Neurospora crassa OR74A: one gene and its partner. The protein of the gene in region 1 purifies or fractionates together with the protein of each later gene. This does not show direct contact. Links are inferred from orthologs where the notes say so. Each region holds a gene or a part of one and is shown on either strand. Other genes may lie near its edges.

Region 1 (7,033 bases):
TCCTCTTGCGCTCCGGCATGCGGCGTCAACGTCGGGCTATGCACCATGCCATCAGGGCTATGCTGCCACTTTGCCACTTCGGCCTTCATGGCCTCGAGCTCCTTCTGGAAACGCTTGCCGAAGACGTCAATATAGTAGGTAGACCCGTTGTATACGGACCATGTAAACACGCCCATGAGAAAGACGGCCGACAGCCAGCGGTAGTAGAACCAGAGCGGGCAGGGCAGCATGGTCAGGACCGCGTACGTGTACTGGATCAGCATGAAGGCCGGCTCCTGCAGGGAGTCGGGCAGGTTCAGGATCGCCTTGCCCAGCCAGTTTTTGGAGTACGACTTGCGCAGCCATGTAAACGAAGTGGGGCGGCCGGCGGCGATCTTGTCGCGGCGCCGGACCGTGATGAAGAAGTAGTACGCGAGCTGCCAGATGGCGTACGGGATCGTGGACCAGGCCAGCATGGAGATGACGTTGGCGTAGGCGGTCGGGGAGCCGGGCGGAGAGGTCTTGATGGTCCAGATGGACGGGAAGCGCTTGCGCTGCTCGGCTGGGTCGAGGAGGTGCACGATGCAGTGCAGGGTGGCGCAAGGCATGATGTGGATGAAGAGCGACGTGACCTTGTCGAGACTGTGGAAGACCAGGGAGTTGCGCCACATGATGATGGCTATGGCATTGTTGCCGTAGGCTAAGCAATAGACGGCGGTGAAGAGACGCTTCGAGCCGGGGAACACCCACAGGCTGAGGAGCAGGAGGAAGTTGACAAAGTAACAGAGGTCAGCAAGGAAGTAGTGGTAGCCTTGCTTGTGGTAGCGGTAGAACCGTATGGGCATGAAATAGAGGATCTGAACAGTGTACCAGATATGGAACCATTCGGGGAAGGCGCCGATCAAGTAACCGCTGATGAAGATGTTCATGACGCCGAAGATGAAGGCTACTTTCTCGCGGAGAGTGATGACCTTGGTGTCGTTCCAGCGCTTTCCTAGCTTATCAACGTTGACGCGCATCCGCTTCTTGTATCGCTCCAGCTGCTCCTCGGCCGTGGGGACCCGTTTGCGCCATTCATCCACCATGCGCTCTCGAGCGATCGCACTCTTTTCTTTCAGGGCCTCGCCGGACTTGCGCATCTTCTCGGTTCGGGCGTGGATGCCTCTTTGCAATTTCTCCAGCTGCTGAGGGAGCGCAAAATTATCGAGAAGGTCGAGAACAGTCAAGCGATCGAGAGGGGGGAAGACATCCCACTCGTCGTGAAGAGTGCTGCTTATGCTACCCGAAAACGACGAGTTCCTCGATAATACGGCTGGACTTTTCGGGGTCGTGACATCGAGAGTTGGGGTATTCGGATCATGTTCTCCGGGCGAAGAGTTTAGGGGCGGTGTTGAGGGGGTGTCTGGGGTCAAGATGGCCTCGCCATCGGTAGATGGTGCGCCTTCTGACTTGTGGCTCAGTCCCGAGACCGGGAGACTGATCTCCGGTTCCGCCAGATCGGCCATGGTTGGTGTTTTGTGTTCAGTATGTTCTTGCTCAAATGTTCTTGCTCAAAATACGACAATGTTATCCAAATGGGTGATACGGAAGGAATAGGGTTTCTGTGGAGGGGCAATGGGTCAGATTAAATCCACAGACATGATAGCCATGGCAGGGAAAGATGGTATGTTCATGTTTGAGACGTACTAGTCGAAACCCCTCGTGTGGTGGAGATTTACTTACACAGCCATCAAATGGCGACGTCAATGGATGGAGAAGGCTTGTACCATAGGTAGCGAATTGGCAGAAGTGAAAGCGGCAGCAGGTGCTTCTGGGGTCGAGGGGATGTCGTAGCTATTTCTAGATGATCAAATGTGGAGCACCAAGCTTGAGACGAAATGATTGTCGTCAAGATTGGGCTGCAGCGCGTTGCAAAAGTTGTGTTGTGTTTCCGGCATGCGGGCAGTGGCGGGTCGGGGATTCTTGTTGGCTCCCGTCAAACAGCTTTGCAGGGAAAAGAAGAGACGGGATGCACCGGGAAAATGACATATGCACACGTGAATTATGGTGATATCACTGCAGATAGACTTCACGATACTGAACTCGGCGTGGAGGATAGATAAGAGACTTGGATAAGATGGATACACGTGGTCTGAATTTGATCGGATTAAAGGCTGGGGAGATGAGGAGAAAGTAGATGATAAAAAAAAAATTGGACCACGTGTGACTCTCATTGTCTCGGATTTGAAGCTGGAAAAGGAAGACACCTTGTGACGACGGACGACGACGGCGTGTTAGTGTCGTTGGTGCAAGGTCTCCAATGACGGTGTATGGATGCAGCTTCTCCCAGCATGTGATGCAAGCAGGCCTAACATTGGCAGAGAATGCGATCATTGGCGCGCTGACGTTATGGCTGCAGATTTTAGTGTATCAGAACTTAGAACCCTGGAAAACTGCCACAATCTGTTATGTCAGTCGGCCATTTACGCCACATCTTGGTCGTTTTGCTATCAACCGATGGGAGGTCACTGAACTCTAGTGTATCGAGCACAGAAGGTCCTCGTCAAGAGATCCAAGAAGATCCGGAACATCGAAAGCTTGATTTCGGTTGTTCCGTAAGGCTGGAAAAGACCCGTAGCATCCTTGGCTGGGTGTACAAGTTCCACAAAGGCAGGTCCAGAACATCGCTGCCTCTTAATTCTCGCCGGTTAGGTGTCCTAAAGCATGGATAATTTATGAGCAAAACAAACTAACAACCTACATGTGTTGCGAATGCAAGCTCTACCGAGGAAGGTATCCTCGTGTTGTCATCAAACCGTCTGGAATTTGATCTCCTTCCGCTTCCTGTGGTGTACTACTCAAAAAGACAACAAGGTGGACATGGCTACTTGTTAGTCATGGGCTATAACCCTAACCCGTATTTTCGTCCCCCGCCGTTGAAGCGTGAACTGAAGCATTGGATGGTCCAAGCGCCCATCTGTCTGTCCTTCAATCGCTCCGAGTGCCTGTGCAGCACTCCCCCACCTCCTGCAGGATGCGACAGATGCTCTACCTTGGCGACCTGCGCTGCCCTGGGCAAATTATTGGGGAAACGAAGTCGCGACACTGGATTAACCCGGTCGACCTTGTTTCCGCTACCGCGCCCACATCTGCCTGCGATTACAAGCTTGGTTGCGATTCCAACCCATCGCACCACCCTCGACCTGTTTACGCGCCTTTTGATGTTCCCCGATCGCGCCGTCACCGCGGATCTCTGTTGGAGCGCGTCGAGTCTCCATTTCTAGCGAGTATCGTCTGCGCTAGCTCAACAACACTATAACCGGTATTCCCATTCGCATACCTTCGGCGCGTCCTCCTGCAGGACATCAACAACCGCAAACATGGGCAAGCTCATCCGTCTCGAGCTTTTCAGTAGGTCTTGAATTCTGCTCTGCGCGAAGCACGACACCTTGGTCGCGAGCGTGCCGAAACTCACCATGTTTGCCGTAAACCAGACTTTAAGTCCTACAAGGGCCACCACACCCTCCTGTTCGGCGACTCCTACTTCACCTCCATCATCGGTCCTAATGGCTCGGGAAAGTCAAATTCGTAAGTTGCACCGGGTTGCGGTCGCTAGGGACTGCTTTCATATTGACGGGCGCGCGCCTTGCTAGGATGGATGCCATCTCCTTCGTCTTGGGCATCAAATCGTCACACCTCCGATCGACCCATCTCCGAGACCTGGTCTATCGTGGCCGTGTTATGAAAACCTCGAAAATCCAAGAAGATGGCACCGCTGCCCCCGCTACTAACGGCGTCAATGGGCACGAAGACGGCGAAGACGAAGACCCTTCCCAACGGTCATCGAGGAACGACCCCAAGACGGCTTGGGTCATGGCCGTCTACGAAGACGATGCTGGCGACGAGCAACGGTGGAAGCGAACCATTACAAACAGTGGATCCAGCGAGTACCGCATCAACGATAGAGTGGTTACCGCCCAGCAATACAACGATGCGCTTGAGGCTGAAAATATCCTGATCAAGGCGCGTAACTTCCTGGTTTTCCAGGGAGACGTTGAGGCCATTGCCTCGCAGTCGCCTCAAGATCTTACACGCTTGATCGAACAGATATCCGGAAGTCTTGAATACAAGGCCGATTATGAGAAGTTGCAGGCCGAGGTCGAGCAGGCTGCTGAGAACCAGAATTTCCAGCTGCACCGGAGAAGAGGCATCAACTCGGAAATCAAGCAGTATCAGGAACAAAAGAAAGAGGCCGAAAACTTCCAACGGAAAACCGAAGAACGAGATGAGGCCGTCATTACCCATATCCTGTGGAAGCTATATCACTTTCAGAAGGTCATGGACGAGTCTAGCGCGCAAATCCAGGAGCACCAGGAAAACCTTAAAGAGTTCCGTCGGAATGTTGAAGCCTTTGAAAACAAACTGGATGCTGCTCGTAAAGAGCAGGCTACGGTAGGACGTGAGGTGGGCAAGGTTGAGAGGAACATCAAGGCCAAGGAAAAGGACATTGAAGACAAGGAAAACAGTCTTGTGCCAATCGACGAAAAGATTGCGCAAAGCACCCAAGATATGGGTGTGCTACGGAAGCGCATTGTCGAAGTGAAAAAAGACCGCGACAGCCAAGCATCTAGCATCTCCAAATTGCAAAAGGACCTCGCCACCGTGGAGAAAGCGCAGCAGCAGTTCGAAAAGCAATGGGCCGAAACACTCAAGAAGCAAGGCAAGGAGCTTAGTGATGAGGACCGCAAGGAATATACTAGTCTTCAAGCCGAAGCTATGAAGAAAACTGCCGACAACCGGGCCAAGCTGGCCAACCTCACGCGCCAGCTCAAGAGTGACGAGGTCACCGTCAACAGCCTGAAAGGGAAAATCGACAACTTTGAGGCCGCTATCGAAAAGCTGCAGACGGAGGTTCAGTCGATCAAGGATAGAAAAGACGCCAGCGAGGACGCGGTACAACAACTCCGAAGCGATATCGCCGCCAAGAAGAAAGAGTATAACAAACTCCAGTCTGAGCGCGTAAGGATAAACCAGACCAGAACCGCCCAGGAGGAGAAGCTGCGGGAAATCCTTCGCAAGCTGGAGGATGCGGAGTCTGGCCGGCGTCAGAATGAGAAGGAGACAAGATTGAGGAACATGATCAGCGACCTCAGGCGCATCTACCCAGGTGTCCGAGGCCGGGTTGGAGATCTTTGCAAACCCAAACAGAAAAAATTTGACGAGGCGGTCATCACAGCCCTTGGACGTGACTTCGATGCAGTTGTGGTGGACACCGAGAAGGTTGGGATGGACTGCGTGCAGTATCTCAAGGAGCAGCGATTTCCTCCCTTGACGTTTATTCCGCTCGACAACATCAAGGTCAACAGCTCAGTTTCGGCAGTTAAGGGCATTTCCGGAGCACGACTGACCATTGATACAATTGACTTTGATCCTTCCCTCGAGCGTGCCATCAGCTACGCTTGTGGTGGATCTGTCGTCTGCGACAATCTCCATATCGCAAAGGACATTGTATACGGTAGAAAGATCCAGGTCAAGGCTGTCACGCTGGAAGGTTTCGTAATTCACAAGGCTGGTACCATGACGGGTGGCCGTTTGCCTAATGAGAAGGGCGGCAAGCGTCGGTTTGAGGAACATGACATCCAAAATCTGCAACGGATGGCACAGTCATTAAAAGACGAGGTGGCAGCTTTGGCGCACTCTGGGCGACGAACCGCCAAGGAGGATGCTTTGTTGGTCGAATTTACGGCGCTTGAACAACGCCTCAAGATTCAGGAAGGTGAACTGGCCGCCTTTGAGAAGAACCTCAAGAGCAAACAGAAAGAGCTCGATCATCAGGAGCGGCAGCTGGACGACTACGAGCCCAAGTATGAGGAAAAGCACGGCGAGCTGGAGCGGACGCGGGCAACGGTACAGAAGTTCGAAAAAGCCATCTCAGACGTCGAGGATAAGATCTTTAAAGATTTCTGCAAGAGACTGGGCTACGAGAACGTCCGTGCCTACGAAGCCCAGCAGGGCACTTTGGAACAAGAAGCTGCCCAGAAGCGGCAAGACTTTGATATCCAAAAACAACGCATCCAGAGCAACATCACATGGGAAATGTCACAGCACACGGCGACCAGCGACAGGATAGCCTCACTAGAACGGACCCTACAACGGCATGAACGAGATCTCGATACATATCGACAAGAGAAAGCATCGATCGAAGAGGAACTGGCGGAAGACCGGGAGGCGCTCGAGGAGCTTGAGCAGAGTCTAGAAGAGCTCAAGGTCTCCCACGCAGAAAAGACCAAGAAGGTCCAGGAGGCCAAGCAAGACCTACAGAGGAGGAGCAGAGACATAGAAGTCAGGTTGAAGGAGATCAGCAATCTGGAGGCTACAGTTCAGCAGAGTAGTGCTCAAAAGCTTGCCCTGCTCAGGAGATGCAAGCTTGAGCAGATCCAAATTCCTCTTCAACAAGGCTCTCTTGACGACATTCCAAACGAGGACATGTTACTCCAGAAGGACCAGGATGCCATGGATGTTGATGGCGAGGATGAAGACCAGGAAGCCGAGCTTCTCGAAGCTGCCATGGACGACTACGGTGTCGAAATCAATTACGACAACCTCGATGACGCACTACTTCAAGACCCGAACGACGAAGTCGAAGAGAAGCTGCAAGAAAAGATCTCGGCCCTCACCGCCGAGATCGAGAAGCTCAACCCCAACATGCGCGCCATCGAGCGTCTCGAGTCGGTCAAGTCGCGCCTTGAGTCCACAGAAAAGGACTTTGAGGACTCGCGCGCCGCCCTCAAGGCGGCACGGGATGCCTTCAACCAGGTCAAGGACAAGCGGTTCGAGCTCTTCAACAAGGCCTTTACGCACATTCAGGAGCAGATCACGCACGTGTACAAGGACCTCACACGCTCAGACGCCTATCCGCTCGGTGGGCAGGCGTACCTGGATATCGAGGAGGACACGGACACCCCCTACCTGTCGGGCATCAAGTACCACGCCATGCCGCCGCTCAAGCGGTTCCGCGACATGGAGCACCTGTCGGGCGGTGAGAAAACCATGGCGGCGCTGGCGCTGCTGTTTG
Region 2 (6,953 bases), on another chromosome or scaffold:
GGTAGGGTCCGGTGGCCCAAGAAGAAACACCAGTGCCGGTGCCGGTCATGGCGATGGCTGTCTTAGTGGCGGTGCCATTGTACTGAGTGGCAGTGGTCGTCAGGTTTCCGGCAGGCTGGGTAGCCTTCACGAAGGTAGTGGTATGGGTCAAAGTGGCAACGGCAGTCTTGGTGATGTAAGTCATGGGCTCGCTAGTGGAGGTGCTGCCCTGAACACCATCGACTTCGCCAGTGGTCTGATCGGCAGCGGCGCTGACCGAAGGCGTGACAGTGATAGTGATGGGAATGCAAGCCGAGGCGCTAGACACACAGGTACTGTCAGTGTTAGTCTTCGTCTGAGAATCGAGAAATCAAAGACTTACCTAGAGCTGGAAGCAGCTACGGCACCCGCGCTGCCATAACCCATCTGAGCGTTGGCACCGGTAGCGCTGAGGGCAGAGATGGCAGCGGCCATCAGCATCATGTTGACCTTGCGGCCCTTCTTCTCGGTACGCATAATAACGCAAGGCTCCTCGGTGTTCATGATAACGCAGGGCTCCTCGTTGCCGTTACGCATGGGAATGCAGCCGATGACACTGTTGTCAGACATTGTGGCGGTCAAAGAGACAAGCTAGAAAGGATGGTTAGACGACGCGCAAGATGAGAGAGTAACTATAACTCATGGGCGCGGGGCAGAACAGGGGAAGGGGAGAGGGGGCCCAGAAAGGCTTTGCGACAACGGCGACGAGGCATGAACACGCCGGTAAGAGTCCGGGATCAAGACCTCTTGATGCGCGCAGAGTCGCCTGCTATGGTGATAAGACCAGGCGCATGGTGAAGAGGTGCCCCACGAAGGTGTTGCAAGACCACTGTCATGTTGCGACCGTGTTGCGATCGAGGAGCCTCCCCACCATGCGACGAGTCGTCGCAACGATACAATCAAATGGACGAGAAATAAAAAGGAAGCAGAATGATGGGACTCGGTGCTTACGAGTGATTAATCCTGGAGGGCTGGATGCGCGCGCGCTGAACGAGTGGCTGTTGAGAGTGGAAAGACGATCCCGCAGTTGTCGAAGAAGAGTGCAAAGGTGGGAAGGAGGAAAGGTGGAAGAAGAGACTGCGGGCCAGCTTTGGGATTCTTATACGCTGGGGAAGGAGGGAGTGAATGTCAAAACCACTGCAGCAGCTGCCATTGTGGACGACTGTTTTCGACTGGCGACCGAGGAGGATGGGATGAAAACGGGCCGGCAAGAGTTCCTTGAGAACCTAAGGAGTCCTTCAGACGGGGAGGTGCGCTTGGTTGTTGGAAACGCAATTCCGTCACCTGAAGCTTGTCCGTACAATTAGCGGCGTACCTTCCATGTCCAAAGGTTCCGCGGGTAGAGGTAGGTACGATGAAGTAAGGTAACCCTGCTTTCACCTACTAGTCGAGGGTTGTTCAGACGTGTGACAAGGCTAGGTTCTCTCGAGACGTTTACGTCTGCTCTCTTTGGTACGGTAGATGCTCAGATCTGTTCTTGTGATCTGCCAGGCTGAATTTTGCAGGTTTGTGCGGAAAAGAAAAACAAGCAAAATGCTATGTCCCGTAGCGACCACTCTGATTCCAAGTATAGGTAGCCGCTAAAAGGGGGTGATCTCACAGTATCTCGGACATAATCACTTGCACTATTCGATTGTTATTCTGCTGCTGTTTGATCCAACGTAGGATGATTCGTGGATGTATCCATGTCCTTGTGAGCATGATACAAACGGATGATAAATGGATTGCAGTGCCGTAGGAAGTGTTAGATATGAAGAGAAGTTTAGGTATGTCTGCTTTGTAGATTCTGGGAATGTAAGGTTGTCCATTCCGCCGAGCAGGTAGACATACATGACTTTGCCACATATGATTCCTTGTTGAAGCGTAACGATCTTAATTCGTAAACGTCAAACGATGCCGGAAACTTTCAGCGATGAGACTCGCAAGCAAGGCACTGAAGACGAGAACGAGGTAACGCATTATTTTAGACTGTGAAGTCGTGAAGCCCATGAGGATATTCATGAACGTATCGAATAAAGTGAACTGGAATGTATGAATGAAAGATCTCAAGACTTCCTCTTGCGCAATACGTCGAACAAAGTGGACTAGTGACGGGGTCAACGTGAACATGTTACGCTGTCAAAGGCCCCCATCCAGTACGAATGTAGACAAAATAATTCCAGAAAAATAAATACTGCTCAGCGATGACTCGTATTTCACATACTTTGGGTAGCTTTCACCATGTTAGGGATGTTGAATAAAAGAGTGTCATGGATGAGTTCTAGGTGGTTTGAGAGGCTTTGTTGACGTGCGGTTGAAGTTCAAGTTGCATCGATTGACAGCGTTGTTTGGAGTTTGACCATACTGTAATTACTGATACCATATTTTCATACAGATGTAATGCCTGTGCGGCTTGCCGAAACAGTGAGTGGTAATTTGCTGTAAGCTGATCGCAACGTTTCACAGGGCCCCTTGCCAGTGGTCACAGGGCCCCTGTCATCCATTGCGGACGCTGCAGCTCCTTGGCTCTTGGGCAGCTCTCTGCCTGCCATCGTCCCGCCAATTGTTTCCCCCCCCCCCCAAGTGGTAGTTCACGAATTGTTGTACTGCCCGTCACGCGAAGGAACAGGACGGGCAAGCGCGTAACACAGCTGTTGCCGAACCATATCAACGACTCATCATCCCCCCGCAACTGACTGTATCCTCCTCCGAGCTCAGTCGGCCTGTCGCGCGACATCTAGACACCACCTGCGCATATCATTATCTCGGATCTTAATTCGTGGCCCGCGATACCAAGCTGCCCGTATATCTCCAAGGACCCGCGCGCATCGTCAATCGCGAGTCAACGGCCTGAGCCTCGACGTTTCTCGTTAACGTCGCACCACGACACCACGCGCGGCTTGCGGTCGCCCATAGACTCTTAGGCCCTCCCAGCTCCTTTCTGCCTCCGCCTTTTTATTCGAATCAGTTTCCCATCCTCGCCGCTTGGTCACTTGGCCAAATCAATTATTCAGCTAGCTCGTCCTCAAGATCATACGCAGGAAGGTAACCGATCGCAGCGCGTCAGCCGCCATGGCGCCACGTCGAAGCGCTCCCGAGGAGGAGGAGGAGCTCGAGCAGGAGCAGGAGCAGGAACAGGGACTGGTCGCACTCGAGTTCAACGAGCCCTTGACATGGCGCCCCGGCAAGCCCATCTCCATCGATACACTGCTCAAGAGGCTCGACGCCCTCTCCAAGGAGCTGTCGGAGATGGATCAGGAGACTGTGGACACCAATTCACTGGTCAAGGTTGCTAAGGACGTAGCCTCTCATCAGCTCATCCAACATAAGGACAAGGGCGTACGAGCATACACGGCATGCTGCATTGTCGATATCTTGAGGCTATGTGCCCCCGATGCGCCCTTTACACCATCGCAACTCAAGGTTCGAGAGCCAGAATACACCATCTCATGGACCACTTGCTGACGTTGGTGATCGCAAAACAGGACATCTTTAACCTCAGCATCAACTCCATCATTCCCGCCCTCTTCGATCCATCGAATCCCTACAACAACCAACACAAGTATGTGCTGCGATCCTTTGCCGAGATCAAGAGTATCGTTCTGCTACTCGATGTTGAAGGCAGCGAAGCCTTGCTACTCAAGCTTTTTACCACCATTTTCGACGGTGTCTCGGGTGTCAAATCTTCCAAGGGAGAGCAGGTTGGAAAAGACGTCGAGTTTAGCATGCAAGAGATGCTGGGAGTACTCATCGACGACTCCGTAACCCTTCCAGGAAAGGTTGTGGATGTCATCATGGCCCAATTCCTGAGAGCGGCTGCTCCGGGACTAGGCAAGGAACGGCAGGATCATGTGCCAGTCGATGACAGCCAGGCAACGCTGCTTCTGAAGGAAGAGCCCGAGGCTTACCAGATGGTCAGGAATCTATGCCAGACTTATGACGACAAGATGGCCCGTTTCGCCAGTCAGTATTTTAGTGATGTGATTGTCGATGCGACAGGGTTTGCGGGGAGGTCGAACGGCAACAGAGACGAGGATGACGAAAACGATGAGGATGATGGCCCGACAGGGCCCTCCGAGTCCGACTTGAAAGAATTGAGGAAGGCACATGTGCTTATTCGGGAGATCTGGAAGGCCTCTCCCATGATCCTTCAAAACGTTGTCCCTCAGGTTGATGCAGAGCTCTCAGCAGACAATGTGCACTTGCGACAGATGGCAACGGAGACGCTCGGAGACATGATTTCGGGCATTGGCGCGGCAGGTCCGCCTCCACTGCCCGTCCTTGATCCAGCCGCATACCCGCCATTGAGCCTGGAAGAAGAAGAAGAAAGAGCGGAACCCCAAGTGACCAACATCCTCACCACGCCACTTTGCTCCATATCCTTCTCGCAAACACATAGTACGACGTTCCACAACTTCTTGAGTAGGAAGAATGATAAAGCCCCGTCAATTCGCGCTGCATGGACCACGGCGGTAGGCCACATTCTCTCCACCTCTGCTGGAGGAATCGGACTCAGCCGCGAGGACGAGGCTACTTTGATCCGAGGGTTGGGAGAGAAGCTCTCGGACAGCGATGAGAAAGTCAGACTTGCAGCTGTTAAGGCTGTCGAGACCTTCAAGTTTCAGGACATTATTGCTAAGCTAGGACCTAATGGAGGAGTAGGCAAGGATGGATCGGTTCTCAATACGTTAGCCGATCGCTGTCGCGACAGGAAACCCGCTGTCAGAGTTGCTGCCATGTCACTGTTGGCTAAACTCTGGGCTGTCGGGACTGGTGAGATGCTTGCTGGAAATGAAGCGGTAACAGCAGCATTGTCTGGCATCCCGTCGCGCATCTACAACGCCTTTTACGCCAATGATCTGGAACTCAATGTCCTGATGGATCGCGTCATCTACGAGTTCCTAGTACCTCTTGGGTATCCGCCAGCCAAAAAGGCGACCAAGAATTCCAACGCCAACGGCAACTCCCAGTCGCAATCGGCTAATGCGACATCCATTGACCATGATGCGATTAGAGCAGAGAGGATTCTCCTCCTTGTTCGCTCTCTGGACGAACCGGCGAAGAAGGCATTTTTCGCCATGCAATCTAGACGGCCTCAGTTCGCCAAGATTATGGAAACCTATCTCGACCAGTGCGAGAGGTACAACGGTGGTGTTATGGAAAGCAATGCCGACAAAATCACCAGCAACTTGAACAAAACGGCCGATTACATTGCACAGTTTCTTCCAGAACACGTCAAGAGCAAGACCGACCTACTCAAGTTTGCTAAAATTCACGACCGCCGCAATTACAACCTCATCAAATATGTCATTGGCCAGGAGAATGATTTTAAGACAGTGTATAAGGCCTTGAAAGAGCTCATCAAGCGCTGTATGGCCAGCAAAGACCCCTCAGTTATTGACACTCTGCTTCCTCTACTCTACCGTTCTGGCTGTCTTCTCTTCAACCGCAGTCACTTATCTACGATTATGGAGTACTCCAAATCAGATAAGGACGGATTGGGATCGGTTGCGCACGAGATCTTGAACGAGATCTCTCAACGCAACCCAGACCTCTTCAAAACTCACATCGGGCAGCTTTGCAAGGATCTTGTTGATCAGGCTCCTAATGCCACAAAGCCGAACGATCCCATAGTAGCGGAAACGCTCAAGGCTTGCTCTACGTATGCCCGGAAGTTCCCTAAGGATGTCGCCATGGATCGGAAATTCGTCCAGACCATGATCAACTATGCTCTGTATGGCCAACCCGTCAAGGCCTCGAAGCATGCCGTGAACATTGTTCTTTGTAAGAAGGATGACAAGAGCATGGTTACCGCCACTGATCTTCTCCAAAGGATTTTGAAGGATTGGTCATACGGGTCGAGTAATTTCCTTAACAAGCTTACTGCTGTGAGCCAGTTGGAACTGCTTGCACCCAAGGTTACCGAGGAGGCGAATGATGAGATTCTCAATATGGCCTTCAAGCAGATCCTCCTCCAGGTGCGGACCGACGCCAAAGACAGCGATCCCGATTGGGTCAATGACGCCGAGATGGATGAGGAAATCCAGGCCAAGTGCCTCTCCCTCAGAACACTAGTCAACAGGGTGAGGAGTATCGAGGATATCGAAGACGCAAAAGAGAAGGCCAGTAATGTTTGGAAGGTGCTCAGGAAGATCATCAAGGAGAAGGGCGAAATTGTCGAGAACAAGGATACGCCCAAGCATCACAAGACAAGGCTAAGGCTCTTGGCTGCGCAGTTGATGCTCAAGCTCTGTACACAGAAGCATTTCGACGACATGCTTACGCCATCAGACTTCAACCTGTTGGCCTTGACCACTCAAGATATGGTCGAGGAGGTGCGTCATGGTTTTGTGCGAAAACTCCAAAAATATCTTGCCGATGGCAAACTGCGGTCGCGCTACTATACCATCATCTTCCTCACTGCCTTCGAACCCAACACTGAGTTCAAGAACAGGGTGGAAACATGGATCCGTTCTCGGGCGCGCCACTTTCAGAACCTCAAGCAGCCTGTTCTCGAGGCGATCATGGCCCGCCTCATCTCGCTTCTGGCCCACCACCCCGACTACAGCAACGAGTTAGACTACCTTATCGACCACGCTCGGTACATCCTCAACTACATCGTACTGGTGGGCACCGAGTCCAATCTGGGCTTGATCTACAAGTACGCGGAGCGTGTGAAGCAGACGCAAGATGGTCTTAATCCGAACAGCGATGCGCACAGGGTCCTGAGTGACTTGGCGCAATCTATTATCAGGAAGTGGCAGGAGAAGAAGGTTTGGGCCTTCAATGCGTTCCCCGGAAAGGTCGGCCTACCCGTCGGTCTGTACACGGCCCTCCAGTCCCACAGCGAAGCGCAGACAATTGCAGAGAAGTCCTATCTCCCCGAGGGCTTGGACGAGAAGCTTGACGATCTTCTGAGGGCTATGGATCGCAAAAAGGTACGTACACTTAAAATG

Evidence for each region. The genes of interacting proteins can lie anywhere in the genome.
Region 2: the proteins of NCU01323 (region 1) and NCU00424 purify together in Saccharomyces cerevisiae (affinity purification with western blotting; 3 studies listed by BioGRID, with this or other methods). This does not show direct contact. The link is inferred for Neurospora crassa OR74A from reciprocal best matches to the Saccharomyces cerevisiae genes SMC1 and PDS5.

What each region holds. Positions count from the first base shown.
Region 1 is NC_026505.1:3,657,676-3,664,708, reverse strand, and holds the start of NCU01323 (cohesin complex subunit), read left to right. Parts: upstream 1-2,930; 5' UTR 2,931-3,338; coding exon 3,339-3,369; intron 3,370-3,452; coding exon 3,453-3,546; intron 3,547-3,611; coding exon 3,612-7,033. Other genes in the region: NCU01324 (uncharacterized protein), read right to left, coding at 1-1,484. UniProt on the Saccharomyces cerevisiae protein: Involved in chromosome cohesion during cell cycle and in DNA repair. Central component of cohesin complex. The cohesin complex is required for the cohesion of sister chromatids after DNA replication.
Region 2 is NC_026503.1:3,811,013-3,817,965, reverse strand, and holds the start of NCU00424 (Spo76 protein), read left to right. Parts: upstream 1-2,615; 5' UTR 2,616-3,069; coding exon 3,070-3,420; intron 3,421-3,482; coding exon 3,483-6,935; intron 6,936-6,953. Other genes in the region: NCU00425 (hypothetical protein), read right to left, coding at 1-299, 362-588. UniProt on the Saccharomyces cerevisiae protein: Essential for the establishment and maintenance of sister chromatid cohesion at centromere proximal and distal regions during S phase. Also required for chromosomal condensation.